Linked DNA regions of Rattus norvegicus. The main gene of each other region encodes a partner of the protein of the gene in region 3 in a complex. Links are inferred from orthologs where the notes say so. Each region holds a gene or a part of one and is shown on either strand. Other genes may lie near its edges.

Evidence for each region. Proteins that work in one complex are often made in the same cells at the same time.
Region 1: the proteins of Gnaq (region 3) and F2rl1 are in contact, whole or in part, in a cryo-EM structure (PDB 9D0A), measured with the Homo sapiens proteins. The link is inferred for Rattus norvegicus from reciprocal best matches to the Homo sapiens genes GNAQ and F2RL1. Residues at the interface, in NP_002063.2 of Homo sapiens: Arg37, Ile323, Tyr325, Asp346, Ile348, Leu349, Gln350, Asn352, Leu353, Glu355, Tyr356, Asn357, Leu358, Val359; in NP_005233.4 of Homo sapiens: His108, Pro109, Ala110, Met114, Gln172, Arg173, Val176, Ile177, Pro180, Met181, Gly182, His183, Ser184, Arg185, Met265, Met268, Leu269, Met274, Asp275, Asn277, Lys280, Lys281, Arg284, Ala285, Leu288, Ile289, Tyr344, Tyr345, Val347, Ser348.
Region 2: the proteins of Gnaq (region 3) and Cckbr are in contact, whole or in part, in a cryo-EM structure (PDB 7F8W), measured with the Homo sapiens proteins. The link is inferred for Rattus norvegicus from reciprocal best matches to the Homo sapiens genes GNAQ and CCKBR. Residues at the interface, in NP_002063.2 of Homo sapiens: Arg30, Arg34, Asp35, Arg37, Arg38, Leu40, Ser198, Val199, Phe341, Lys345, Asp346, Ile348, Leu349, Gln350, Asn352, Leu353, Lys354, Glu355, Tyr356, Asn357, Leu358, Val359; in NP_795344.1 of Homo sapiens: Thr87, Val88, Thr89, Asn90, Glu151, Arg152, Ala155, Ile156, Pro159, Leu160, Ala162, Arg163, Val164, Trp165, Gln166, Thr167, Ile241, Leu245, Gly248, Leu249, Val331, Leu335, His394, Arg396, Phe397.

The regions. Positions count from the first base shown.
Region 1 is NC_086020.1:28,517,155-28,521,169, forward strand, and holds the start of F2rl1 (proteinase-activated receptor 2 precursor), read right to left. Parts: upstream 2,801-4,015; 5' UTR 2,714-2,800; coding exon 2,626-2,713; intron 1-2,625. UniProt on the Homo sapiens protein: Receptor for trypsin and trypsin-like enzymes coupled to G proteins.
Region 2 is NC_086019.1:169,182,364-169,186,377, forward strand, and holds the start of Cckbr (gastrin/cholecystokinin type B receptor), read left to right. Parts: upstream 1-1,214; 5' UTR 1,215-1,249; coding exon 1,250-1,400; intron 1,401-1,609; exon of another isoform or gene 1,610-1,815; intron 1,816-1,922; exon of another isoform or gene 1,923-3,528; intron 3,529-4,014. UniProt on the Homo sapiens protein: Receptor for gastrin and cholecystokinin. The CCK-B receptors occur throughout the central nervous system where they modulate anxiety, analgesia, arousal, and neuroleptic activity.
Region 3 is NC_086019.1:222,851,034-222,855,256, reverse strand, and holds the start of Gnaq (guanine nucleotide-binding protein G(q) subunit alpha), read right to left. Parts: upstream 2,805-4,223; 5' UTR 2,710-2,804; coding exon 2,574-2,709; intron 1-2,573.

The DNA of each region.
Region 1 (4,015 bases), on a different chromosome or scaffold from region 3:
AACATCCTGTGTGCCTGTTCACGAGACACTAATTTAAAAAGGATGAAGCCAGGCTTGCCGGTGCTGGTCTATAATCATAGCTATTCAGGATGAGGAAATGGAACCCAAGGTTCAAGGCCTGCCTGGGTTACCTAGTGGATCCAAGGAGTTTGGGCAGTTTAAGGAGACTTTGCCTCAAAATAAAATGTAAAATCAGTGACAAGGTGGTTGATTAATACACAGGAGGCCCTAAGGTTTAGTACTTAATACATGGGACGCTGGTGTGTGTGTGTGTGTGTGTGTGTGTGTGTGTGTGTGTGTCCATATTTGAAAGCTGTTAAAACTGTTATTGACCTTTACATGTTAAAAACCCATACTTGTACAAGGCTTTCTAATCTGGGAATGTTATGTATTTTTATGCACTTCACAGGTACAAAAGCATGGGAAAGATATAAATCAAAATGTTAGTAGTGGTTATTTTAAGTACCGGTGTTTAGGATGATTTCGTTAAATTTCTCCTCTTTCTTTTTCTTTTTCAGTGATCACATATTACTGTTATGATTTTAAAAAAGAAAATGTTATGGGGAGCTGGAGAGATGGGCTCAGCATTGGTTGTTCTCCCAGGATCTGGGTTCAGTTCCCAGTACCCAAGTAGGAGCTGACAACTGTCTCTAACTCCGGTTCCGGGGGATCCGACACTCTCACACAGACATGAATGCAGGCAAAAACACCAGTGCCCATAATGTTTTTAAATTAACTTTAAAAATGTTGTCTAAGCATGGTGGTGCATTCATTCCTGTAATCCCATCATTCAGAAGAGAAGAATTGTTGCAAGTTCAAGGCCAGCGTGGTTATACATAGAGAATTCCAGGCCAACCATGGATACACAGCAATACTGTTTCAAAGGAAGAAAAAGAAGAAAAGAGTACAACGAACACCAAAAAAGAACCAGTCTTAAAACGGAAATGGACTGACTGTGTCACTAGAGAAACAGCAACAGTCCAGCACTTACCCAGCCTGTGCAAATCCCTGGGTTAGATGACCAGCAAGACAAGAAAGGGGAGAGGGAGCAGGAGAGGGGGAGACTGCAGTAGTGATTGTGTTGGAGAAAAGCTGATTTAAATGTCACATTCGCAATTCAGTGCCCCAACCCCACCCCCTCCTGCAAAAATATGAGGTTTATCTTTGGTTGGGACCCTTTCCGAGAAGCAATCTTTTGGGGGCTGGAGAAAACCAAGCCCAATCTGCTGCTTAAGAAGTCAAGGCGCAGACAGAAAGACCAGACTTGAGGGGCGTGAGCAAAGATGTCAAGGTGCCCTGTGTCCTAACCAAAATGATTTAATTTCAATTGAGAAAAAACCTCCCTGCCTCTAAAGTCTGTGTTACTAGACTAACTGTTTAGGAAAGTCACCGGCAATGGAGTATAATTATACAGAGAGAAAAACCAAGGTGGGATATTAAGTAACTCGGGTTAACAAGTAACCTGATTTTTTTTTTTTATTGTTAAAATCAAGTTCACCTCGTACGCTAGGAACCTTTCCCTCCCAATCTCCTCATTCTGTAAACGGAAGGAGCCAAATAATCATGATATGTTTCCTATACTTGGTGAATCATCAAAGTAATCACTTCCAATCACTTTTTTATTTAAAGTTTGCACACACTAACTTTTGCTTCTGAATTTTAAAGTTCTAACTTTAAATGACAGGCAAACCGAGAGGGGTTAGACGTTCTTCTACAACTTATCGACAAAGTAAAGGCTAGAAATGACCTTTATGACTCTAGCAAGTGTAGCTGGCTATCTCTTGCAGTAAACACCTCCCACCCCACCCTACAGCCTGCAGAGGTCTCCCTGGCTTCTAGAAGCGCCAGTTCGAGCTCACCGGGAGAAGCACCACCCGCCCAAAACGGCGGCGGGCCACTGAAGCACCGCCCCGAACCGCTTTCTTGCAGTTCTGTTTCTTGGGCTAGGCAGCCTCAGAACTAGAACTGGGTGGCTACCAGGGTGAGCTCCGAGGCCCCGGAAGGTCTCGAAATCTCTAGGCTAGAAAGTCTAAAAAAGTCTAGAAAAAATATAATAAGGGTCGGAAAGGTCCCCTTCTACCACCACGTGACATCCAACCCCACTGAGTTCCATGTCCAGCGCATCCACTGCGATGCCAGGCACCGTAGCCCCGAGTGGGTCTCGAACACTGTGGTTCAACCCCCAACGAAGGGGTTCAGTGGATGGGTGCGAGTGCAAAACGCGAGGTGGGAACTTCCCAGGGCTCGGGTTCCCACTCACTCCGCCCAACCGTGAGCCATCAAATTGCTGTAATCCAGGGGTCTGGTAGCACCCAGCCGAACGGAGTTCACAGGGTCCGCGAAAAGCTCTCAATGACTCAGTGTTTGCAAAGGAACCACCGGAGGGAGGGGAGGCTGAGTCCTGCCTGCGCTCCTTCCTTATCTCCCGAACCACGTCGACCAATAGAGATTTCAAGTGCCCAGACCAGGACTGTTTCTAGCATGTCTTTGGGGGCACTTCTCGGGTGTCCCGGCTGATTGGCCCTGGTTAGGGACCCCCATCAAAGCTACTGAGAGAGCGGGGATGTGCGCTCCTACCCCATTCCCCCCACCAGCCCAGCGCGTTCCTCCGCCGCTCCAACTCACCCGGTGCATTCACGGTCCGGTTGCAGGAGGCCGAGGCCGCCAGAAGGGTGATACCTCCCAGCAGCCACGCCAGGCTGAGACTTCGCATCCCCGGACGTGGGACGGGCGGGCAATCCGCCACCAGTGGTTCGAAACTCCGAGCCCCACTCGGAGTACCGGGTCCCCTTCCTTTAACACCAGCCTCACTGAGCCTTCCTGGGGCGGGACCCGTTTCAGTGAAACCGGAGCCTCTGGACGCACCTGCGATAGGCCACGCCTCCCAGGAGACCACGCCCCTTCGACCGTTTTACGCAAGCCCCACCCACCCCGGGCCATCCAGCCCGGCACAGCCTGTCCGTAGCTCCGGTGTGTTGGCCAGCGTCCACTTGGCTGCTGGAGTCGCCTGCGGGTGGGGCTGGACCGGTGAGGTGGCTCCATTGGAATGCAAATGACAGGAAGGTTGGGACCCAGGGTTCTTAGAGCCTGGGCGATGTCCAAAACTATCTTTAACCTTTAATTACTTCAGAGAACCAGTGAGGTCATCCTCTTGTAAATGTTAGAAAGTCTAAGCTGTTGCCTTTGTCTTCAGCAATTGGTGTGGAAGGCTTTGTGGTGTAATAGGCAGTGTGGGAGCTGACGGATATGAAAGGGTTTTTTTGTTGTTGTTTGTTTTGTTGAATGCTGTCTTGTTTTGCCTTTTTGCTAAAACTCTCTGCCTCCCCTACCCTCTTGACTTCAAACTTGTGGCGTTTCTCCAGCCTTCACTTCCTAAGTGCTGGTGCCAGGATGGTGCCACCAGCACATCTGGTGAGGTTTCGCTCAAGTAGAGGCAGAGCAGACTGCTGTGAACTCCGTCAAAAGGGGCAGGAAGGACTCCGCGTTCTGGGATTAGGTTTTAAGCTCATCTGTCGACCAGTGTCATTAAACAAACCCGGATGTGTGAGCTAGAGTGTGGAAAATACTAACCGCCAATGGTTCGGTACTCTTAGCTTGTCTAAAGCCTACAGCAACCATGTATGCTCGCTCCATCTGGAGATGGGACTTAGAATGTTTGCTGCCTCGGGTTAACAGTTCATGGACCCGGTTTGTAAATCTCCTTCGCTTCCAAGCTCAAGTCTGTGACTGAAATGCGTCCACAATGTGTTGCTCTATACCTGATTCCACTCGGGTCTCTTCTGCGTGTGATGCCATATTCCAGAGCAATATAGAGGCGTGGGTTGGGGTTTGTAGCTCAGTGGTAGAGCATGTCCAAGGACCAGGGGTAATCGCCACCACGGAGACAGGCAGGAGCATAGAGTTGGAGGCCAGTTGGGCTATATATCCTTGTTTGTATTGTAAATGATTGAATACATTTTGTCAATATGTTTTTATTCCTATGTTTTGCCATTAAAATTTTTATAACATTCCCAAG
Region 2 (4,014 bases), about 54 Mb from region 3:
CCTCTCCACCCAACCTCTGATAGCCACTTTGGGATCTCAAAAGATATTTCACATTGCACCAGAATTTCTTTGGAATGGAGGAGACTGGTAGAAACAAGGCTGAAAAAGAAAAGGAGGCCAGTCCTGCCTAAGGAAGCAGAGTCCACTTGAGCCTTCTTGCACACCAGAGGCGCCTTCGACTTTGTTCCCTGCTCTCTCCTGCCACAACCCAGTGACCCAGTCCTCCCTTGGCCCCCTCTCATGGGAACCCAACACCCTACCCCGGTGCTGCACCTATGCTGACAGCAAATGGAGCATCGTCGTTTTAGGTGTGGGTGGACGCTGCCTAAAGACGAGGGACGCTGCCTGCTCCCTATCTTTCACCCTGGTCAGGGCGAGAACTAGAACCCATACCAGAACCCGTACCACACCTCAACTCAGTTCATTTAGAGCAGTTCTCACTTCAATTCCCGGTCGCCCTAGTTCACTCCAACCCTTTTCCTTGTCTTCTTTGCGACCCTCCAGGACCCTCTTTAGAGTCTTTGAAGAAGAAGCCTAGGTTTGGAGTTTCAGATAGGAGGTGGGATATGCCAAGGCAGAAGCTAATCCTCACCAAAGAGCTAAGGTAGCTGACACTGTGGCGATCACTGCGGCCACTGCGGCAGAACTCCGTAACTGCGGCTCCAAACGTACTAAGGCACCTGCTCTGTAGCAGGGGAGCCTGGTACGCAAAACCGGATCACCACCGCCATCACCACGTCATCTAAACCACCAAAGAAAGATGCTGGACTCCACAGTAGCTACTCACTCTCCCATCACCCCATCCCTCCGGCAGGCGCACGTGTAAACACACACACACACACACACACACACACACACACACACACACACACACACACACACACTCTTCCAGAACTAGGGGCATTGGTATAAGAGGTGGGCAGAAAAGGCATCTTTAAGAGAAGAAGGGAGAAACTAGCGCGGGGGCGAGCCTGGAGAGCAGTCACTCAGGAGCGCGCGCTGAACTCTGGAGCCGAGGAGGCGCGCCGAGAGTCACCTGGTGGGACAAAAAGCCGCCTAGAGCCTGGAACCGGCTGAGGTTAAGGGGAGGCTGGTGGGGGAGTGGAGGAGTTGGGGCCAGGGCAGGGGGCGGAAACTAGGAGGGGCGGGCGATGTGGTGGGCGGGAGCCTGAGCCACCAGCGCCGCGGGAGCAGGTGGAACCGGTGCTAGAGCTCGCTTAGCAGAGCTAAGTGGGACTTCACTGGAGCCATGGAGCTGCTCAAGCTGAACCGCAGCGTGCAGGGACCAGGACCCGGGTCGGGGTCTTCTTTGTGCCGCCCGGGTGTCTCCCTTCTCAACAGCAGTAGTGCCGGGAACCTCAGCTGTGAACCCCCTCGTATCCGCGGAACCGGGACCAGAGGTGGGTGCCTCCCTAAGCCCTTCTCACTGAACCCCACAGCATTATTCAAGAACCCTTCTGACCTCTATTCTGTCAGCTGCCCATAGTTTTCCTTTGTAGGACTTCCGCGACTCACACAGAGACCCCCCCCCCCCCTTCACACACTGCGCTCCCAAGCTCTCATAACTCCAACACCTTCCCATCATGGTTCAAAACCCCCGACTTCATACTTGCTCTGCCATAGCTACTCAGATCATCCCCGAGCTCAGCATCACACAGCCGGGAAACAAGGACCTCTTCTTGTCAGCAGGTCTAGCTTTCTTTTCCTTTAACATCCAGTTCACAGAGCCAGTACCAAGGAGAGAGAGCGACAGGAACCTCTGAATGAAGGGCAAAGGAGGGCTGGGCCGGTGAGGGCATAAGCTCTCTGGACTGCCTGAATGGGAGATAAGAGTTGTAATAGTCTCCCACCCCACCCCAACCTTTCCCAAGAAAAGAGGGCTACATTCAGATCTGAATTTAACCAGCACAAGGGAATGCTACCTTTCTTGTTCCATTTGTCCCCAAACTCTTCTGTTCCCAGGGTCAAGTCCTCCACCCATCTGCATGTCTTCTCTGTCACTCTGAAGGTCTCTGAGTCCCTTCCACAGCGCCCCAAGTATCCCTTTTCTCACTTGCCTAGAGCCAACTTCCCCTGGCAACAGTCACCCCATTCCTTTGTGTCACCTTCCCTTCCTACTGCTTTCCCTCATCCCGGCTGCAAATGACTCATTCCTCCCATCAGTAGCATCTTCATTGCTTCAATGAACATCTTAAAATGCATGTTCCCTTTCCATCCCCATATTTGTTTGCAATGTTTAATGAACATTTACTAGGCTTAGTGCTGGGAACACTGAACGAACTAGACACAGTCTGCAGTCTCAGCAGTCTGCAGCCAAGTACACAGGGACAGAGAAAATCACTGCCTAGAAATCCCACAGAGGGTCTGATTGGAATATGGACACACAAAGGAATTGGGGAGTCTAGTAACTTCACTGAGGGTGGAACCTGGGAGCTCGGGTTCAGTAAATGGAAAAGGAAGGAGTTGGATTCTATGTTCAAGAAGTAAACATTGTTAAATTATACCCTACGTATTTACTCAGCCCATGAAACAATTCATGCTTTCTCAGTTTGGCTTTTACCCACTGTCACTTACTCTTTCACTCAGGAAAGATTTATTGGACCAGAAACTGCTAGGCAACAAGGATACGCATTTAACAAAACTGACGAAAACCCTACTTCATGGAGCTCTGAGTTTATAGGGGAAACAGACAGTAAGCCAGGAATGGTAGCACAAAGAGAAGAAGCATTGTGGATATATAAAAGGGACATCTCCAGCCTACTCTGCCCTTGGGGATTAAGACGGGTTTCCTGGGGTATGGATGTGATCAAGTAGGGAAATATGACAGAGAACCAAGTGACAGAGCAGAAGAGGCATAAAATGTCTTAGAGAAAGATATCCTGTCTCAAAAGCTCAAAGTTTAAGGCTATAGCATGTCTGTTCAGTATAACACAGTTTTTGTATGCTGGAACATGTACCCTTGAAGGTTCCTAATAACAGTGTAAACCAACCTAGAGTGTGCTTGGGGAGCTTTATAGCTCTTGCTATAATGTGTAGATTTCCTCCTGAGGCATTGGGATCCACTAAATAGTGCTGCCAGGATTGATTGCATGGTGTTGAGATTCAGATAGAATGCAGAAAGATACTTTAGAAAGCTATTGCATTACACAAATCTGGCTGGAAGATGATGCTAGCACAGATGGAGAGGCTGGCAGTGAGGATGCAAAGAAGTGGACGGACCCAAGAGCGACTTCTGGAAACGGAGTCAACAGAACCTAAACATTGATTAGAAATAGAGAGGGTGGATGAAGTCAAGGGATGAGATCCAGTTTCTGGTTTAGGCAACTGAAAGGATGTGGATGGCATATCATAGAGAGACAACCAAGGAGGGGGACTAGACGTGCATTTCATATTACAGCACCTGCTTGCAACGGCAAGGCCCTACATTCAGCTCCTAATAACGAAGGAGCAGAAACAGTTTTGAAAGAGGGAATTATTATAAACTCAATTTGGAGCCCATAGAGTTCAAAAATTGATGGTTACTCACCAAAGCTGTTGAATCCTGAGATCTGGAACTTACCTTGGAGATCTGAGCTGGAAACATAGACTTGGCAAGTCTTCACCTTTGGGGGGGAGAACCAGAAACCATAGGAATTGGCAAAATACTTTTAAAAAATATTGTATAAAATGAGAGCAGGGAAGCTGAGCCAGGACCCTACAGAAGGCTGGCATTTAAAAGCAAGGCAGAGGAAAGAAGGTCCAGGAGGAGATGTAAGTGAAATAGAAACAGTAGCCGTGTCTTTGCAGAAAGTGAGAGAAGAGTCTTAGCTGAGGTCAGGTAAGGGATACTAATTATTGCTATGATGAATCAGAGATGAACAAAATATCCACACCGGGGTTGTTCATACACAATAACTACAGAGAGGGTGATGTGATACCAAGACCTGACTCAGAAGGAGGAGGACTGGGCCATGGAGAAGGGGTTGCAAGAAGTGAACAAGAGTAGTTAGCAAAATGTCCAAGGAGTGGGGGCAT
Region 3 (4,223 bases):
TGAGGCACATACTAGCGTAAGTACTGGATAATGACTCAAAAGAGCCTTACTGGCACACTTGATTATCTCGTCAGATAACCGGTTTTGTGATACCACCATATTTTAATAAGTAAATAATACATTGCTCCCTTGCAGGACAGTTTCCTTGAGTGTCAACCTTGAGTTAAAACTTATTTGAAAACAATTTTACACAGAACTTCAACATGAAGCATGATCCCTCCATGTACAGAAGCCTTCAAAGGTACTAATAATGTGATGAAATACATTCTGTAATCTCCTCTGGATAGATGTTGGTAAAATGAACGAAAGAACTAGGAAATGAAGACTACTCCCAAGGCAGCAGACCAGGAAGGAGCCCCTCCCCCAAGCACTCCCTTGTTCAACACTCATTTCCCTGCTAATCTCACACTCATACACACAGAGACGTTTACACTTAATGTCTATCATGATTACACAAATAATGTGGGTACTGCGTTTGGAAGAAGCCTATCCACACTGAGAACAGCCGTGATTGTTAATGATGCCCAGGGCTCCCACTTCTGACAGAGAACTGTATGGGTTTTTTAAAAAATGTTGTTCATAAATGCAGGTGCTGAATCAACAGCAAATTTTCTACCACCTCCACCAGTCTGTCTCTGATGGGTGAGGTGGGGCCATGTTTAAAGCCTGCTTCAATCTATAATCAGTGAGGGAGGGCCGCCACACACTTACACTGACCACATTTTTAGCAGTAGGACTGGAGGGATTTCCCCTCAGGAAATCATTCCCATGTTCATTTTTTTTAAAGCATAGCATATTATTAAAATAAACAGCATGTAATTAAGTATCTCTATAAGTGTATCCCCCTCTCAGGCATTTAAACCTAGGCCCTCTGACAAACCTAACTCATGGCTGCCTGGAAACCTCGAGCTGTCAAATTTCAGGCAAATAAGTTTGGTTAACTAGACCTCAAATGCCCTGTTCTTAGCTAAACACAAACATATGAAGATTGTAAACAAAGGAAAATTAAAAGCCAGGTCTAAGAGAAAAATCTCTAAAACACATGTTTTCCCTCTTAATTGTATACTGGAACACCGTATATTTATTCCACTTGCCCTTGCTTTTCCCTTCTCAATTTAAAAAAAAAAAAAGAAAGAAAGAAAGAAAGAAAAAGATAAGGCATTCCATTTTCAGCCATGAGAAGAAACAGAAATGATGAGGGTGGTAGACTTACCCAATTTCCCCACTCCCCTTGCCTTATTCCCCTAAAACCCACCTTTTTATTCAGCTCCTTGCCTTCTGTACTGTATGAACACTTTATATGTGCACATTTACCTAACTGGATTTCAATAAAAAAAAAACCTACGCTGGGGAAGGAAATAGCATTGGTAGCCATTTGTGATTGTGATATTTTGCTCCTGACTATAAGTGATCCAGTACATAAGCAGTTCGGTCCCCAAGGTAATGGGTTCCTGGAGCCAGCAGATGGACTGCTCCAGATAGAAAAGAAAGAGGGGAGGGGGGACTTCTCAAATCCCAACCAACGAAGCAATATCCTCTTCTTACAGAAATGTTTGAGAAGCGTTATTTTTACTCATACAAATAAACACAAGTGCAGACATTTTTCAGGCCTGTTCCTGCAAAGCAGTTCATGCTTCCTACCACAGTAGCAATAGTTATGTCATGCTAGCTTGTACATGAACCCTGATCGCTTGATTCCAAACATCCTCTCAGAGATAATAATCAATATAATTCCTATTTGAAAATAGCATTTTCTTCTTAATTTCGTGTTAAAGCAGAATGTTGGATTGTCATTTAGAAAAAAAAAAAAAAAGAGATCTGAGGGAAATTTTCTCGAACTCTTCCCGTTTTTCTTGGAGCCCAGATGGCAAGATACTAAAATGTCCGTTTTAAACAAAAGGTTTCTGTTTGTTTCCAGGAGAGTAACTGAGAGGCTGTGCTGGTTTCCAGTAGAAACTGCTGTGAATTCAGGCATACATCTGGGTCGCCTCATTAAACAAAAGATAGCCGTCTGCTGTCAACAACCACACAGTACAACACTCCCGGATCCTTCATCTTTATCCAGAAGGAATGGTGCAGAAGAGACGCCTGTCACCATCCACTGCCCATGCAACTCTCTGGGGTCACTCCTGTCAGTGGCCTGGTGGCTACAGTGGAGCACATTTGGGCTAGTCTTCCCGCCCCGCCCCTGCCCAGTACGTTAACCCGGGTTTCTTTGGAGCGCCAGCCAAGGCTTCCTCAGCACCTTTCCTAGCTGAATCCAGACCCTAGTCTGCTCCCCGTTTCCACCCTTCCCTCTCCACCCTACAACGCGCCACAATGGACGCTGGCCTGCCACCGCACTGCACGCCATCGCCCACCCGCGCCGCTCGCGCGGACGCTCAGCCGTCCCGCAGACGCGGCGCACAGAGCACGGCCCTAGCTGACACCGAAGGCGCACACCGCAGCTCCGGAGCCCCGGCCCTCGGCCCCTGTGTGCGCGCGCGCGGGTGCGGGTGCCGACCGGGAACGCGCGCGGGGAGGGCAGCGGCGAGCCGGGGCGGGGGGCACCAGGGCCCAAGGGCCGCACTCACCCAGCAGCAGCAGCTTGAGCTCCCGGCGGGCGTCGCGCTTGTCCCTGCGCAGCTGCCGCTCGATCTCGTCGTTGATCCTCCGGGCTTCCTTGGCCTCCTCGCTCAGGCAGCACGCCATGATGGACTCCAGAGTCATTCTTCCGAAGTGCCTCGCTGCAGCCCCGCCGGCGCCCTGCTCACACGCGCGCACACACGCCCTCCGCCCTCGCTCCCCCGAGGCAGCGGCGGCCGCGGAGTCCCGCCGCCCGGGCGCGCGTCAGGGACGAGCTCAGGGAGCCGCGGTGAGGACGGCGGCCGGGCCCGTAGCCCAGGCGGGCCGGGGACGAGCGGGGCCGGGGGCCTGGGACGCGCGAGGAAAGGCCGCCGCGCCCGGCCGCGCTCACACGCCGCCTTCTTGGAGAGCGCGCGGCCCTCCAGGCGCCGCTGCCGATGCTGCCCTAAGCTGTGCGCCCAGCGGCCCGAGCTCATCCACCGAGGCGGCCCAGCAGCGAGCGACCGCCGACGGCTCCGCGCGCCCGGCGCGCCCGCTCCTCGCCGCCGCCTGACTCGGCTCCGGGCGCCCTCGGCCTGCCCGCGCCCACTCGGCTCGCGCGCAAACCGGGCAGCCGGCCGCCGCGCGCTCCCCGCCTCCGCCCCCGCCTCCGCCGGACGCCCACCCGGCCCGATTGCCAGGCGCGCCGCGGCTGCTCAGTGCTCGCCCTCCCCCTCGCCACACACACACATTTTCTCCTTTCTCTGAACTGGAGCACAGATCCGGGAGGGAGGCGGCGGCGGGAGGAGGGCGGGCGCAGGGGGCGGGCGCAGCGCAAGGGGCGGGGCCGAGGCCCCTCCTGGACAGCTCGCGCTCTCCTCGCCCCGCCCCCGACTGCCGGCCTGGCTCGCCCGCCGCTTCCCTCTGCGCGAGCCCGGGAGCAGCGGTCACGGCCGCTCAAGCGGGGCCGGCCGGCCGGCGAACACAGTCCTTTGGCTGCCGCGGGCCGCCGGGGCGTGGTCGGCGAGAATATGGCGTCCTCGGCCTGCCCTCCGGCCGCTGGCGCGGCGGGAGCCCTGATGGGTGCCCACGCGCTGCACCCCAGGCCTCTCTACAGCCCTGCTGCCCTTTCCTATTTCTAAAACGCCATTCCGGAAAAACTGCCTCAAGTGGCCTCTGACTCCAGATCTGTCTTAGAAAATGGGATACTCTTTACTAGGAAAGAGAAAGGATTGTCACCGGCTCGCTGGGGGTTACCAAGAGATCTGTGGACGGAACTGTCCTCAGTATCTCCAGATAGGAATCTGAATCCTGAAGAGAAAAACCCAAGTTTCCAAGAGCCTCCTGATCTGTTCCAACTTTTCCGGTCACTAAGGTGATTTCTGTTTCCCTACCAGCACACTATGTTAAAAAGTCTGATATTATGAGCTTGACCCTTCTACACCGTGACAGTTAAGGATGATTTCTGGGAGATCTCCAAATAGTACAGAATGAAATGAAAGAGACGGATATGGTGTGTCATAAACTCCACACTCGACAGGCTGAGGCAGGAGAATTGCTTCCTGAGCAGTATGAAACATTGTATCAAAGAAAAGGGGGAGGGGAGAGAATAAAATAGGAAAAAGTGGAGAAACTAGTACCATTGGAGCAAAATTCTACTTGGTTTTTACACTTCTAAT